2 linked regions of the Alligator mississippiensis genome follow. The protein of the gene in region 1 interacts with the protein of each later gene in a pairwise test. Links are inferred from orthologs where the notes say so. Each region holds a gene or a part of one and is shown on either strand. Other genes may lie near its edges.

Evidence for each region. The genes of interacting proteins can lie anywhere in the genome.
Region 2: the proteins of CASK (region 1) and TBR1 interact in a two-hybrid assay, tested with the Homo sapiens proteins (2 studies listed by BioGRID and IntAct). The link is inferred for Alligator mississippiensis from reciprocal best matches to the Homo sapiens genes CASK and TBR1.

The regions. Positions count from the first base shown.
Region 1 is NC_081824.1:303,752,671-303,760,252, forward strand, and holds the start of CASK (peripheral plasma membrane protein CASK), read left to right. Parts: upstream 1-4,497; 5' UTR 4,498-4,512; coding exon 4,513-4,580; intron 4,581-7,582. UniProt on the Homo sapiens protein: Multidomain scaffolding Mg(2+)-independent protein kinase that catalyzes the phosphotransfer from ATP to proteins such as NRXN1, and plays a role in synaptic transmembrane protein anchoring and ion channel trafficking.
Region 2 is NC_081827.1:220,054,028-220,061,426, reverse strand, and holds the start of TBR1 (T-box brain protein 1), read left to right. Parts: upstream 1-4,393; 5' UTR 4,394-4,507; coding exon 4,508-5,199; intron 5,200-5,544; coding exon 5,545-5,699; intron 5,700-5,984; coding exon 5,985-6,106; intron 6,107-6,422; coding exon 6,423-6,581; intron 6,582-7,399. UniProt on the Homo sapiens protein: Transcriptional repressor involved in multiple aspects of cortical development, including neuronal migration, laminar and areal identity, and axonal projection.

The DNA of each region.
Region 1 (7,582 bases):
TTCTTAGTAACTCTAAAAGTAAGGAACCATGTCATGCGGGCACCACAAACTCAGGGACATGTGCTGGCACATATATGTCCACACACATGCACGCAGAGCAAAATTGAGCATTTGTGTTTCTGGCTGTTAATCTCCCAGCCTCACTTTCATCTCTTACATAAAGTGAGTCAGGGAGATTAACAGCTAGAAACACCAATGCTAATTCTGCTGTGTGCGTGTGGGGAGGGTGCAAGGGCATGGCCTTCAGTTTGTGGTGCTCATTTGACACGGTTCTTTACTTTTAGAGGTGCTGAGAAACCTTCACTGCATTTGGGCATCATCTGCATGCTAGTAGTGGAAAATTCCCAAGTTTGGCAGATGTGAGTTTTTCCAAGGCCACATGGTTAAGTTGGGGCTTTGGGACTTGTTGGGAGTTTGGCTCCAAGTCTATTCTGCCACACAGCAACATAGGTGGTGAGTGAGAAGATGGATTTGTGAGATGCAGTGAGAAAAATTAGAGAATCCAAAACAAATAAATGAGGCTCTGGAAAAAAACTGGCAGAGAAAGAGGAGACTGCATTCCTTCTTGCACCTAAATGTCCCAGTGAGGTCAAAAGGCTACCATCCTTATAAGTAAACCATTCCAGAAAGGGACACGCTGAAAGTCTTCACTGCTTACATTTTAGGCAGTTACGGAATAAATTTTATTGGGTTCTAGAAATGCTGCAGAGATTCAACCTGAAAATTTAAAATTAGGCCTAGGCCCCTTATGGTTGGCAAAATCTAGCAAGGTCTGTTGGATGCTGTGGTGAAAAATATCAGTCTGCTGCCAGAAAACAAAGTATGACTTCCCCCCAAGTTGGGCATGACATCCAAGATCAAAACCACAGACAGGCAGACAAATTCATTCTCTGTCAGGATCTGCTACTAATGCTGCTCTGCTAATACACTCGGGTCTCTCTTTATGCGAGGGTTGCATTCCAAAAAAATCCTTGCATAAAGCAAATTTGCAAAAAGCGAATCCATTATTACATGTAATTAATAGGGATATGTACCAGCCGCACTCTACTGACCCCCCAAACCATGACAAATTCAAACAGTAATCACACAATACAATAGCTGCTGCGTGGAGAGGCTGTGAGCACACGCAGGGGGCAGCGCAGGGCAGGCTAGAGAGGCACCCAGGGGAGGGAAGCAGGGTGGCAGAGAATGCCAGCTGCTCGCCGTGCCTGGCTCCACCCTGCTTCCCTTCCCCAGGTGCCTCTCCAGCCTCGTGGGCACAACTCAATGCAGCTGGGAACAGCAGGAGGGAGTACAAGCTCCCTGCTGCACCGGGTTACACCTGCTGGGCTGTGGAGGCACCCAGGGCAGGGAAGCAGGGAACTGTGGGGCCGCACAGAGAAGGTGCTTGCCCTGAGAAGCAAGCAGCAGCTTGTGGAGCAGGTGCATTGCCAAAGCAGCACGGGGTGAGCACCTTCTCTGTGCGGCCCCACTGTTCCCTGTTTCCCTACCCTGGGTGCCTCCACAGCCTAGCAGGTGTGACCCAGTGCAGCAGGGAGCTTGTAGCCTCTCTGTGCAGCCTCACTGGGTCACATCCACCAGGCTGGAGAGGTACCTGGGGCAGGGAAGCAGGCCATCAGGGAATGGCAGCTGCTCATCCTGCGCTGCCCTGGGGACATGCCTCCTGTGCCTGCTGCTCTTTGGCAGCGGGATGCAGGTGTTGGGACCAGGCAGGGAGAGGAGCCGAGCTGGGCCCAGGATTAGGGCCAGGGCCCACTGCACCCATGCATCTGCCCCTTCCTCTTCCCCTTGGAAGTGTGTGCGGCAGCGGGGAGCTACCGAGAAGCCACTGGAGGGTCCATCCTGCTCTCTTCTTGGGCCCTGCAGCTGCGCACTGCAGCTCTAGACCCCATGTACCCGCTGGCTGGACAGCAGCCCCAGGCCTGCCCAGCTCCCTCCCTACAGGGACCTCAATCCCCCTCTTCCCCCCGTTACCTGCCAGAGCTGCCCTCGAGGCTACTTGGGGCCATGTGCATGTACTTGTGCATGCACATGGTGTCCCCTGTCTTGTCACCTCCCTTCTTCTTCCTCCCAGCTCCCTGCCAGCTGGAACTCTGCCAGCTGGCAGGGAACTAGTTTCTGGGCAACTTCGCATAAGATTGGATTTTTCTTGCACAAAGCAAATTAAAGGTATAAATTAAGGTCATTGCATATAAGTGAATTTGCACAAAATGAATTTGCATAAAGAGAGACCCGAGTGTAGATCAACAATCATATTCTCTTAGCCTCTTTCACTTGGGGTTTAATAAGAGTGGTTTTTCTGCTGTAGAGAACTCAGAAGGCCCGCAACAGGTCCCAGTGTGTTTGATGCTACGGATTCTGGCTTGAAACCTCTGGGTTTATCTTGTGAATCAGTTTGCACATTCAACATTACAAACTTTGCATAGCACCCTTGACAGGCTCTCCAGGCACCCCAGGGTGCCACAGCGCCTTAGTTGAGAATCACAGGTGTAGAAACTGTTAGAACACCTTATGGGACACTTCTTAGTTGGGCTCTCTTTGACGTGTGGGAAGACAGCATAGCCTTTGCTGTTAATGAGTTTTAACCATCCCTTGTGCGCCGAAGTTATTTTTGAATGCAATTAACTTGACAAAATGAAAACAGAAAAACATTTTTCCTGGATAAGAGCCTCTGCGTACCCCTCCAGGGGCACAGCTTCCCTTTCCTTCTGCCATCGGCTTTTTGCCAATACCAGGCAAGCATCCGCTGGCACCACCTAGCCCAGCGGTTCCCAATGACAGATTGCGCACCACCAATTTAAAACAATGCGACCTTAAGTACCACCAGCAAGTGTTTCAGCTTAACCCTAAGTGCCCCCAGCCAATTTTTGTCATATGAAGTAATGATAATAAATCGGTTCACGCACACCATCGACAGATTGTCTGCATACCACTGGTGCTGCCTGTACCACAGATCGGGAACCGCTGCCCTAGCCTTTTTTTCCTGCCCGTCCTTCCGCAGGTGCCAGAACAGGGCCAGACCAGGGGCTGCACATTTTGCAAACGAAGCGACTGCGGACACAGCCCCGCTCGGCGGGACAGCGAGAACCAGAGCCGTTCAGCTGCCTCGCCGAAACAAGAGGCCCCCGGGACTTTGCTTTTCTTCTCTTTCCAGCGGCGGGCTCGGTTTTCCTTACTTCGAGAGACGACACTGCACGCTCACAGAGAGAGGAGGGACAGAGGCTGAGGTGGAGCCTGCTTCTCGGGCTGCAGCGGGAAAAGAGCCGGCAGGACAAGGACAGGGACTGCAACATTACTCGGGGGCATCATCCACATCCTCCCTGCCCTTTGTCTGCACGCGGGGCTCCCCGCAGGGGGGGAGAGGCCGCCTTCCTCCCCGGCGGGGGCCTCACGAGGGAAGCAGCCACCCCACCCCGGATGACGTCACACAACCCTACGCCTGCGCACTCCGGCTTTTCCCCCGCGCTCTCTTACGGTCAGTGGGCGTGGCTCTGCGTGCGGAGGGCGGGGCGGGGCGGCGAGGCGAGCTTGCGTGCGTGTGTGGAGTGGGCGGGCTGCTCGGAGCAGCCCCGAATGCGTGCGTAGGATGCGCGCGCCGGCGGGGGTTGCGTGACGGGTGTCGGCGCGCGCCCCTTCCTCCCCTCCCTCCCCGTACCGTGCGCGAGCGGCGCGCGCAGCCAGACGGCGCTGCCTCCTCCCGCCCCGCCAGCCGCCGCCGGGGAGGAGCCGCCGCCGCGGCCGGAGCAGCAGCGGCAGCAGCAGCCGGGGCCGCCGCGGGGGGAGGGGCGGAGGGAAGGCGGAGCCGCAGCGCGGGCGCGGCTGGAGCGGGGAGCCCGGCGGGGCCGCGGGGGGCACCTCCCCCTCCCCCCCGCGGGGCGCGGTGGGACCATGGCCGACGACGACGTGCTGTTCGAGGACGTGTACGAGCTGTGCGAGGTGATCGGCAAGTGAGTGCGGGGCGGGGCGGGGCGGGGCGGGGATGGGATGCTCTGCTCGCTGGCGCCCACCTGTGCGCGGGTGTGTGCGCGCGCGCGGGTGTGTAACCGCTTTATGTAACGCGGCGGGGGAGGGGGTGACCCCGATGCCCCCCGGCCCCTGCAGCAGCTGCTCTGCCGCTCCCTCGCATCCCAGCGCCGCCGGGGCAGGGCAGCAGCCTGCCTCCCCGCGGCCCCGCCCGGCTGCAGCATGCCCGCGTTGGCGCTCAGGTAAGGGCCGCTCGGGCTCGGCGCAGCCCTCTCCCTCCCCCGCTGCCGGAGCCTCCTCGGGCTCCTTATGCAACGGCTGCTCTCAGCCCAGCTATGGCTGGAGGGTCCCTGGTCTCTTCTCCTCAAGCTGAGGGAAGTGTGAGAAGCCAGCCAGGTCCCCCTGGGGGCAGCCACAGCTGTCCTGGCTTTTGCCCTCCTAGTCTTGCTGGGTCGTGAGGCAGCAGTAGCAGTGGGATGCCGCTTTCCAGTGTCTCTTTGGTTTGGAGACAGCTGAGGGCTGAATAGAGGCTTGGGCAGTCACTGTGGCATGCACTATTTTTTGCTGACGGATCTTTTGAGGAGGGACACTTTGCAATACCACCTTGGTTTAAACAGGTTTGTGTGTGTGTGTCTGTTTTCCCCCCCTTCTTCCCCCCCCCCCCCAACCTCAGCAGACCTGAAATGTTCTGAGAATTGCCGGCTCCTTGGAAAGCTGGAACTAAAACAGGCTTTTTTTTTTTTTTTTTTTCTTGAGCACATCTTCCCTGGGGATTATGCCAGTATGTCAGTCTAAGACTCATGGAGTGACCGTGTCCTTAATGTCACATTCGCCCGTGTTTTGATACTTCTCGTTTTTTTCGTTATGGCACAAGGCATGCACCCATCCTGAATGTCACCTGCCGTTTCCTACAGATGTCTTCTCGGTCATAAAGCTTGAAGGGACTCGTTTGGCAGAAGGACCACTAATAGTCGTGGATGTCATTTAAAGCTGATCAAGAGAAGAAAAGCTTCTGGGGTTAGGAAATTGGATGGCAACTTTGGTATTACCAGCATGCAGAGCAATTTCAGATGATCCGGTGTTGAGCTGCACCCTTCCCCCCCCCCCATGAAAATTGCATGAGTGTGAATTTTTAGTACTTTTGTATATTTTATTTGAGTAGGGTTAGGGCCAATTAAAAGGGAGGCCTAGTGGATATGCCTAATCTTAATGTGGGCACTTTCCAGAGATGAGTTGTGCAAAGGGGATTGTTGCAAATCTTGTGACATTTTTAAAATGATTCTCACTTTGTGTGAATACTAAGGAAAAGGGGCCAGAGTTAAGTGCTAAGTATCTACAAAACTTCAAAATAAATATTTTGGCATTTTTTAATTGTGTATGTAGTAGACAAAGTTCTTTGTGATGTAAATAGGTTAAAATTGTCAGAAATTGTTAAAATTGTGCCAGAGGAATAGAGTGGGCAGTTAGATATCCTAACCTGTGACATTGTCGTTGCTGCTAACTAGTCAGGATTGTATAGCCAGGTTCTTCTGTGAGGATCAGGAAGATGTCATGTCATTCCCCTTAAAGAACATGTTAATAAATAAATAGCTTAATTATTTGCATCAGTATTCTTGTCACTTGAATAATACCCTGGAGTTACGTGTTAAGGACCATAGATGGAGCTTCTTGTTTTGTTAATACCTCAAGTCTGTGAAGCTTTTCCGTCTTGGAGAAGCCTGTGAAAGGGCAGTGTAAATCTGCTCCGAATTGCTACATATGCATCTTGCTAAACACCTTTCAGTAAAACATCAACTAAATGTCTGCCCATTCCTGTGACTTATTACTGATTGATACAGTAATTTAGCTCTTGGAAACAGCACACCTGGCCTTGATTTGCATTTCAGAGGCATGAAATATTTAAAATGTGTGTAATTTATCTTTACTGAGTAAGTGGCTACCACTGCCATCTTACGTAGAAAAACAGGTGGTTTCAGGAAAGCTATGGAAGGGAGAACTGTAACAAAATGTTTTTTTGCATGTCCTTTGTAGATGTTGAATAGGTTTTGAAAAGGTAAATTCCTAAATTTCTTTTCTGTTGGCTTGGGAACGCAGACCTCCTTTGGAGTCAGTCTTCTAGTTGACACTTGACTGTACAGCTTGCTGTGTTAGTCTCTTTCTAAATCTTTTAAAAAAATTTTAATGAGCTGCTAAGACTGGCAGGGTTATTTTATCTGAACAAAATGTTAATTGCTTTTTAGCTTGTTGCATTATAATTTGGTAAGAATGAACTAGTTGAAATGGTGGCTGTGATGGTAAAAAGTCAGGCAGTTAAGGAGCATTGCACAAGTTGAAGTTCTGTTAGCAGGGTTTCTTTTTCTTTTTTTGGGCATGGGAGGAAAGGAGTGTCAAAATTGGGGAATAGATGTACTATTATGAATATATCATCAGGAAAGTGGTGGTGAGTGACTTTTATTTGCATACACTAATACACACCTTTTTTCCTTAATAATAAAACAAGCCTCACACGGACGAGTAATCAGGACAATATAATTTCCTTCTTAAGTTAAAGGCAGCAAAGCTTAAAAAACAATCAGTGGTGTCCTTTAGGATGCAAGCATTGCTCGAGTAAATTTACTTTGCAAGTTCTGGGTAAAATTTTGGATTCTTGACATAACTTGTTCACATCCACATCCCTTCTCGCATGTGCTTGCCCAAGAGTAAATAATTGGGGTGGGGGCATGCTAGCCTTCACAAACATTAAATGTTAAGGGAATTGGCCATGAGGTAAAGAATAAATAACTCCTTTGATTCAGACTTCAGAGGTTTACCTAAAAGCAACTCACTTGGGATGTTAGAAGGCAGATTACTACAAAAACATTTAAATGCTTTTATTTTCGGTAAGGCAAAGTACTGGATTCAGAATTAATAGATAATTACATCTGGTACATTTTGTGTTTAAAACATTAATTCTGGCCACTTGCCAGTTGCAAAAAAGTTGAAGGAAGTGAAGAGTTTTACCATTCTAAGTGTCACTGAAAGGTATTCAAAGCTTATTGTCTGCAGTCTGTTTATGTTGAGACATAGTATATTTTAAGCTTAAAGTAATTCTCATGCCCTTCTAATACTGAATAGACACTTCCAGTACTCGCCCAGAAGACCAAATCGTGGTTTCTGTGTTCAGTATAATTTTCTTCTGATCCTTGCCACATGACTATCTAGTTTTGGCTTGTATCTGACTTTGACTTGGTGGGGCTATAAGATTCATATTTTTGGTAGTCGTGTAATGCTGACATGTTAGACTGTCTGTGATGATCCAGACGTACACTAGAGACTGCTTTCATTAAAGTTGCCTACCCTGATGTCTTTCTCTCAGAACGCCTTATTTATTAATATTTATCATTTTACTTCATTGCACTGTGGTATATTCATGTTGAAGGAATATTGTCAGAACTAAAAGTGCACTGAAGTCCTCTGGCTTTACTAATGGCTAACATGGGTGTAAAACTGACCCTGTGCCCTAGGCTGGATCTAGGTGTGTGGTGTGGTGGTGGTGGCAGCAGCAGTGGCTGCAGCAGGATCAGCTGCTGTAGGGGAAGCAGTGGCAGGAGTGGTACCTGCTGGTTAAGGCAGGCAGGCT
Region 2 (7,399 bases), on another chromosome or scaffold:
CAGTAGTACTGTGTTCAAAAAAACATTGTAAAACTTTATTGTAAGTATTTTCCCTGCCTGAAAAAATAAAATGTGACTGGAGGTCAGTCATAAAGACAATTCCTTAGCAGTAAGAGGAGGTTAAATTAAATCTCAAGTCCCACAGAAGAGTCCCAGTTGCAAAAAAGACTTCTCAAGCCCCTTCCTGCTCTGAGGGTATGGGAACACTCGCTCAAAGGAATTATCTTTGTGCATTTACCTTATTTAAACCTAGCTCCTGTCTCAGTAAATCCAAACAGGTGGTTTTCAGTATTAGGCAGCTACAGAGACCATAATCACTAATGTTCCTCTTATACTTTTGTTCTCACACATTATTCTGTTTAACTAATGAAGTGATTTAAAAAAAAAATTAAATAAAATTCACAGGTTCAGGCAGATGACTATTTTAAACTCCTGCTAGATTTGAGTCTTTAAAAGACAGAATTACAAGGGGGACTTGACTGGTGTGATTGGTAGAGCCTAGCTTTGCCTCATTGTTCCATTTTATGTCTGTAGGCAGCAAGTATTCCATGCAGTGCAAACTGTAGTCTGTTGTTCACTAGTTTATTACAAGGCGTTTTTTGTGCTTTTTTTTTTTTTGTGCCTGTTCAGATGTTGACCTTTAAGTTAGATACTATTTACAAACAGAACTCTGTCAATTTATACTTAATACACATCTAATTCAAATAGAAATACATGCAGATGTTTGCAAACTTACCAATTATGAGCCTCAAAAGAAGGCAACAGAACACCAGGCAAGGAGGAAGGGAAAAATGCAAAGTTCCTGATAAGTAGCACCAATGTATCAGGTGTTTGATATTTGGGGAGTGAGGATGTTTTACAGCGGGTAACTGAAGAAGAATTTATTTTCAAGAAGAAGCATATCTGCTGTAGCCTGGGCTTGCACCATGTCACCCAGGTCCTGTGTGTAATGCAGCCTGGCTATGCATTTTTTCTTTTATATGAATGCTGCATAAACCTGTCAAATTCTGTTTTCTGTCATGTTCTAGTTGTTACTTCTTTATCTACTAAGCATTTTAAGAACCCAAAAAGAAAGGATTACATAGCTGTTTGAGACAGTAGGATGCATGTAGTGACATGGCCAGAAGGGACCAGACTACTGTCCGGAAGAGAGCACCCAAGCTTCATTAGGACCTGACCACCCTGAGAAGTCGCAGAGAGTGCCTTTTGCAATTCTTCTCCAACCTTTTTCACATTTTTTCTAAGAACGGATTAGCCTACCACTACCTATCCATCAGTGGTGCCCGCTTAACAAAAGGACAAAATAAAGGGTTTTTTCAGAATACATTAGTACTGTTACATAATTCCCAGTTTGCAGCAGAATTCATTACATCTCTGCAATGTAAATCGATATGCCATGGTTGAACATACTACATGAAATGTGTAATGCAGTCTTTCCCCTATGTCTCCTGGAGATTTTGCCTTGTCTCATAGATTAATAGATTCATAGATGTTAGGGTCGGAAGGGACCTCAATAGATCATCAAGTCCGACCCCCTGCATAAGCAGGAAAGAGTGCTGGGTCTAGATGACCCCAGCTAGATACTCGTCTAACCTCCTCTTGAAGACCCCCAGGGTAGGGGAGAGCACCACCTCCCTTGGGAGCCCGTTCCAGACCTTGGCCACTCGAACTGTGAAGAAGTTCTTCCTTATGTCTCCTGATCTTTCAGCTGGTGCTATCATCATCATAGCAGTTTTACACTGGAGAATTTGTATTAGTGAAAGAAACAAGCACCAAGAACTGTAGCAGCGTAGTATGTAACTAGCTCTGCTCAGAAAACTGCTATATATTCCTGGAAAACAGGATGAATGGTATGGAAAATAGTATGCGTTAACCAACCAGCCATTCAAAAATCAAGACTAACACAGTAGTGTGCATGACTGGCATTTGTGAAAGATTTCATTAGAAATGGTTTTACAGAGAGGCTTGAAGACTATATCCACTGTAAAACATGGTCTTCCTAGTCAGCTGTGAACTCAGTTATTGTTCTATCTCAAATACATTTACTGAATCTTGTACTTTAGTTACAAAATCAAAACCTGAAACGTTATCAAATGTTTCGTTAGCATTTATTTACAAATTAATGTAATGTTTGGCTGTATCTTATGTAAGCTAAAAACCTTTTTGTATGGCTTTTCACTGTATACATACAATAATACTTGAAGAAACCAAGTAGTTGTAATCTTTTTCAGATTTTGAAATGTTAGGGGTTTTTTTTAAATGAACTAAAATCTATTTGAAGAAAACATTTTTAAAAAGGTATTGAATTTTTTAAAGGGCATTTTAAATTTACTTTTCCTTCTGATGTTTAGAACAGTTGTTCTTTTGATTGGCAGGAGAGTGCAGAACCAAATTTGCTCACTTCTACTCCCCTCTATCTGCTCTTCTCTTTATGATCTTGGTCTTTGCCACTAGTTGGAGCTTTGTTGCTGACCTCATTGATAGTTCCTCAAGAAATTATTTACCATCTGAGCTGTGACAGTGCAAAGGAGGGCATCATTGTTGAGTTGACTGAATGAAGAACTATCAAATGCTCAAACTAAAAATACAAGAAGAATTATTTCCACTATAGTATTTGGGGGAGTAAGGTTTGTGTCGCTTAAGAGCAAAGCTTTCTTTGATCATTGTAACTGTGCTTTCTCTTTGCTTTTTGCAGAGAACTGCTTTGCAGGTTCAAATGCTTTATAATAAATAGGCATCTAGGAAGGTGCTGAAGAGAACTAGGAGACCACCTGGTCTTTCTAGTTAACCACATTTAGTTTTTCCACAGAATTCTCGTTTAGTTACCTACAGAATATTTGCTACAATGTTTTTGGCTCCTGCATTGAAGGATCAGAGGGCACCACCAGGTTGGCAGCTGCGGTGTTGATACAGCAGGCCTGCTGAGGCCCAGCTTCCACGTATATTTGGCACCTCTGCCAGGGTGCAGCCTGGCTGCAGAGGGAGGTCGGGGGCCTTCACTCTGCTGGGGGCCATCCTTCCCCCTCTGGTTTCTTACCAGCAGCCAAGACTCTGGTTACTGGTGGTGGACGAGTGGGAGAGAGGGCAAGAGCTGGTCTCTGAAGGAGTGGGGGGATGTAACCAGGTGCTCACCGGGAGGACTGCACAAGCTCCCAGCCCTGCGCCTGCTGGGGAAGGGCAGGCGGCGCACTGGTGAGCCACCACGAGCCCTGTCCTGCCCGCACGGGCCGAAAGCAGAGCAGCGTGTGCGCGCGGGGCCCGCGAGAGCAGCTTGGCAGGGGGCGGCCGATGACCTTGCACGGGCCAGGGGGGGCGCAGGGGCCCGGCTGCCTCCGCCAGCGCCGCCCCCTTGCAGAGCCGCGCCCTGCCCGCTGCCTGCGGGGGCGCCTCGCTCGGCAGCCGGGGGCGCTGCCCGTGGCCCCGGTACTCGCCGTGCCAGCACAGCCCTTCGGCGGGCTCCGGCCCCTGGCGACAGCTCTCGCTTCGTTTGCGAACCGGGGTGATCGCTTCTATGACAAATCTCTTACAAAAGAGCTCTCCGCGCCTGAGTCACTGCAAGAAAAAAGACAGCGAGTGGAAGGCAATGTGGAGAAGGATGCCTGCCTGGCGCGATTATCGTCCGCATTACAGCGCACACATGAAATATTGATGCACCAAAGCGGCCGTGACCAGCACGGCCGGTGCCTTAGGGCCCTCTGCCCGATGGGGAGAGGCGCCGCGCCGCGCCCGGGGCCGGCAGCAGTCGTCGCGGGGAGGGAGCTTTCTTTCCTCCCCGGGAAGCAGCTCGTGCGGGGGGCGGCGGGGAGGCAGGGGGAGATCTTATAAAAGAGTCCACGCAGCTATTGCGTACTTCGTATTAGCCGGGAAAGAGACACTGCGCGAGGCTAAGGTGAAAGCAGGCCACCGGCTTGTGGCTCGCGAGCTCTGCCCCGCGCCGTCCTTGCAGTCCGAGTGAATGCTGCCACCTTGGCTGCACCCCAAACCTCCAGCCTCTAAGCGCTCCCCTGCTCGCGAGGGAGAGAACAGCATTTAGGAGGTCGCAGAAATCGTCTTTTGATTTCTTTTCCATCCACAGTCACAAAGCTCGGGAGGTCACACAATAATGAGCACTCCCAGCAAACACACGCGCTCCCCCCAGCTCCCTTCTATCTCACAAAATCATCTCCTTCAATTTGCCATGATCGTCGCGACCAGGAGCCAGGTGATTATCCTAATTAATGTCTATCTAATTAAATTACTGTCAGCAGTTAACCAATGGCAGGAGCCGTTTCATCCGCTCCACAAGCAGCAAGATCAAAAGTGAGTCTTTCCTGATTGCTGCATAGTGTCAATTGGCCAATCTCTTCTCCCAGGGAAAAAAAAAAAAAAAAGTAAATCAAACGTTTGGGAAGCATTTGGTGGAAGAAGTGCTTTCTGCTTAGCGAGGGTCCCGCAATGTCTAGTTTCTAGTGTTAAGGAGCCCTTTCAGATCCAGGGACTGAAGGGTTATTCTTGTGGTGCTAGAGCTATGCAGCTGGAGCATTGTCTTTCTCCCTCTATCATGCTCTCCAAGAAATTTCTCAATGTGAGCAGCAGTTACCCACATGCAGGCGGATCTGAGCTTGCCTTGCATGATCATCCCATTATCTCGACCACTGACAACCTGGAGAGAAGTTCACCTTTGAAAAAAATTACCAGGGGGATGACGAATCAGTCAGATACAGACAATTTTCCTGACTCCAAGGACACACCAGGGGACGTCCAGAGAAATAAACTCTCTCCCGTCTTGGACGGGGTCTCTGAGCTTCGTCACAGTTTCGATGGATCTGCTGCAGATCGCTATCTGCTCTCTCAGTCCAGCCAGCCCCAGTCCGCTGCCTCTGCTCCTAGTACCATGTTCCCTTACCCCAGCCAGCATGGACCCGCTCACCCAGCCTTTTCTATCGCCAGCCCCAGCCGCTACATGGCTCACCATCCTGTGATCACCAATGGAGCTTACAACAGCCTCCTGTCCAACTCTTCTCCGCAAGGTTACCCAACGGCGGGCTACCCCTACCCCCAGCAGTATGGCCATTCCTACCAAGGCGCGCCTTTCTACCAGTTCTCCTCCACCCAGCCGGGGCTGGTGCCCGGCAAGGCGCAGGTCTACCTGTGCAACAGGCCACTCTGGCTGAAATTTCACCGGCACCAGACAGAGATGATCATCACCAAGCAAGGGAGGTAAGCGGCGCTCTCTGTGGCTGCTGCGTGGAGCCAGCGCGGGCTGGCGGGGCTGGGACGCCGGGCTCCCCCGGCCCGAGCCTGGATGTCTGGGGGACCCGGACCGCAGCCCGCAAGCCTGGGGAAAGCGGGGGGCTGGCGGCGGGTGCGGGTCTCTGCCCTTCCTCCCTGGGGAGGCCCCGCGGCTGTTCCCCCCCTGCCTTTGTCCTCAGCCTTTCCCTGCAGCTCTGCCGGCTTCCCCCTCGGCTACTTGGGGCTCTCGGCTCCCTCGGCCCCGCCGGGTTCCCTCCGCACCCGTGCGCCGCTGGCTCTTCCCTTTCCTCTTTCCCTTTCCCCTGTCCGTAGGCGCATGTTCCCTTTCCTAAGTTTCAACATCTCCGGCCTGGATCCCACGGCTCACTACAACATTTTCGTGGATGTCATTCTGGCCGATCCCAACCACTGGAGATTTCAAGGAGGCAAATGGGTTCCTTGCGGCAAGGCGGACACCAATGTGCAAGGCAAGTGCTTCCAATTAACACGTTTCCCGACACATGCGGAGGTGAGAAGGATTAATTAAAGCCTTTGTGGACTGGCTCTGGCGACTTCCTAGCCGGGAGCGGGCCAAGGCTGGCGTGGGGGGAAGGAGGGTAAAGAAAAGGAGAAGGGAGAAAAAGGACCCGCGGGGAAGGAGGTGGAGGACGCGGCTGATCCAGCCCGGGGAAGCCGGGGTTCGCGGCCCTCCGGGCGGGAGGCGGGTAGGGCCGAGCCGGGTAAGCAGCGCGGGTGTTTTTGTGTCCGTGCAGGAAACCGGGTGTACATGCACCCCGACTCCCCCAACACCGGGGCCCACTGGATGCGCCAGGAGATCTCCTTCGGGAAGCTGAAACTTACAAACAATAAAGGAGCCTCCAACAACAACGGGCAGGTCAGTGGGGCCCGGCGCTGCCTGAGGATCGAGCTCGGCCCCAGCTTTCTCCTTGGCCACATCGCAGGCTCGGGCGGGGAAGCGCAGCCCCGTGGGCTCCCCCCTGCCCGCGGGCTTGCGGCTTTGCCTCTGACCGCACCGCCGAGCAGGGGAAAATCCCGCCCGGGAGCGGGCTGCGCTTCGCCCGGCTTGTCGGGGAGGGATCGGCGGCGGTGGCTTTTCCTCCCGGCGCTTCAGTCGCTCTCAGTGTTTTCCCCCTGCCCTGGCTCTGATGCGGCTCTCTCCCCGGCTCCCCTCCCCTCTCTCTGCCTGACAGATGGTGGTCTTGCAGTCCTTGCACAAGTACCAGCCCCGCTTGCACGTGGTGGAGGTGAATGAAGACGGGACGGAGGACACCAACCAGCCGGGCAGAGTACAGACGTTCACCTTCCCCGAGACCCAGTTCATAGCGGTCACCGCCTACCAGAACACCGATGTAAAGAGCTAGGCGGTCTCCTTCACCCGCGCCGGAGCCTCCCCCGGGCCGCAGCAGCGCTCCGAGCAGGGCAGGCCACCGCCCGCCCTGACGGGGGACGCTGTCCCCTGTCCCAAACATACAGGAGTCGGGATATCTATTTGTAAAAGTTGCAATGCTGTGCCCTTTGCTGCGACCAGCAAGAGCCGCGAGCCCCAAACCCTCGACACTAGCAGGGGTGTGGGTTCATATCTCGGAGCCTTCCCCTTGCCCCGGTTCTCCCAGACGCTGTTTAGTCTGGTGCAGGGTCCGGAGACTAAATATTCCCTTAGGTCGAAACAAGCATCAGTGTCCGTAATGAATCTCTCCCAGGGTGAGCGAGAGGAACCCTATTGGCACTTCCAGGACATGATAGTTGTCAATAGCTATTACCTCCTTTCCAAAAGAACGTGTTCGGTTCTCTTGGGCGGATTTTAAGCAAGTCTGAAAAGAGCCACTGCTCGGTGCTGCTGCCTGCGCTCGGGGTGCTGGTTCATTTCAACCCGACTGCGATCTCGTCAGTGCCTGGGGAAGGGTTTGGTTTGGGTGTTAGTGCTGGGGGTTTGGGTTTTCTTCCTCTCTCTTCTTTTTTTTTTTAATTTAATTTATTTTTTTTATTTTGCCCTCTCTCTGGACGGTAGATATTAAACCTGTCTGCTTTGTTTTTAATTGTTGTGTTCGGTGCTTAGATCATCTCTTCCAAATACTAGGTAAAACAACTCGAAGTAGTAATTATTTCTGATCTGGCATCTTAATTTTTTTTTTAACATTTTTATAAATAGGAATCTAAGAACAATGTC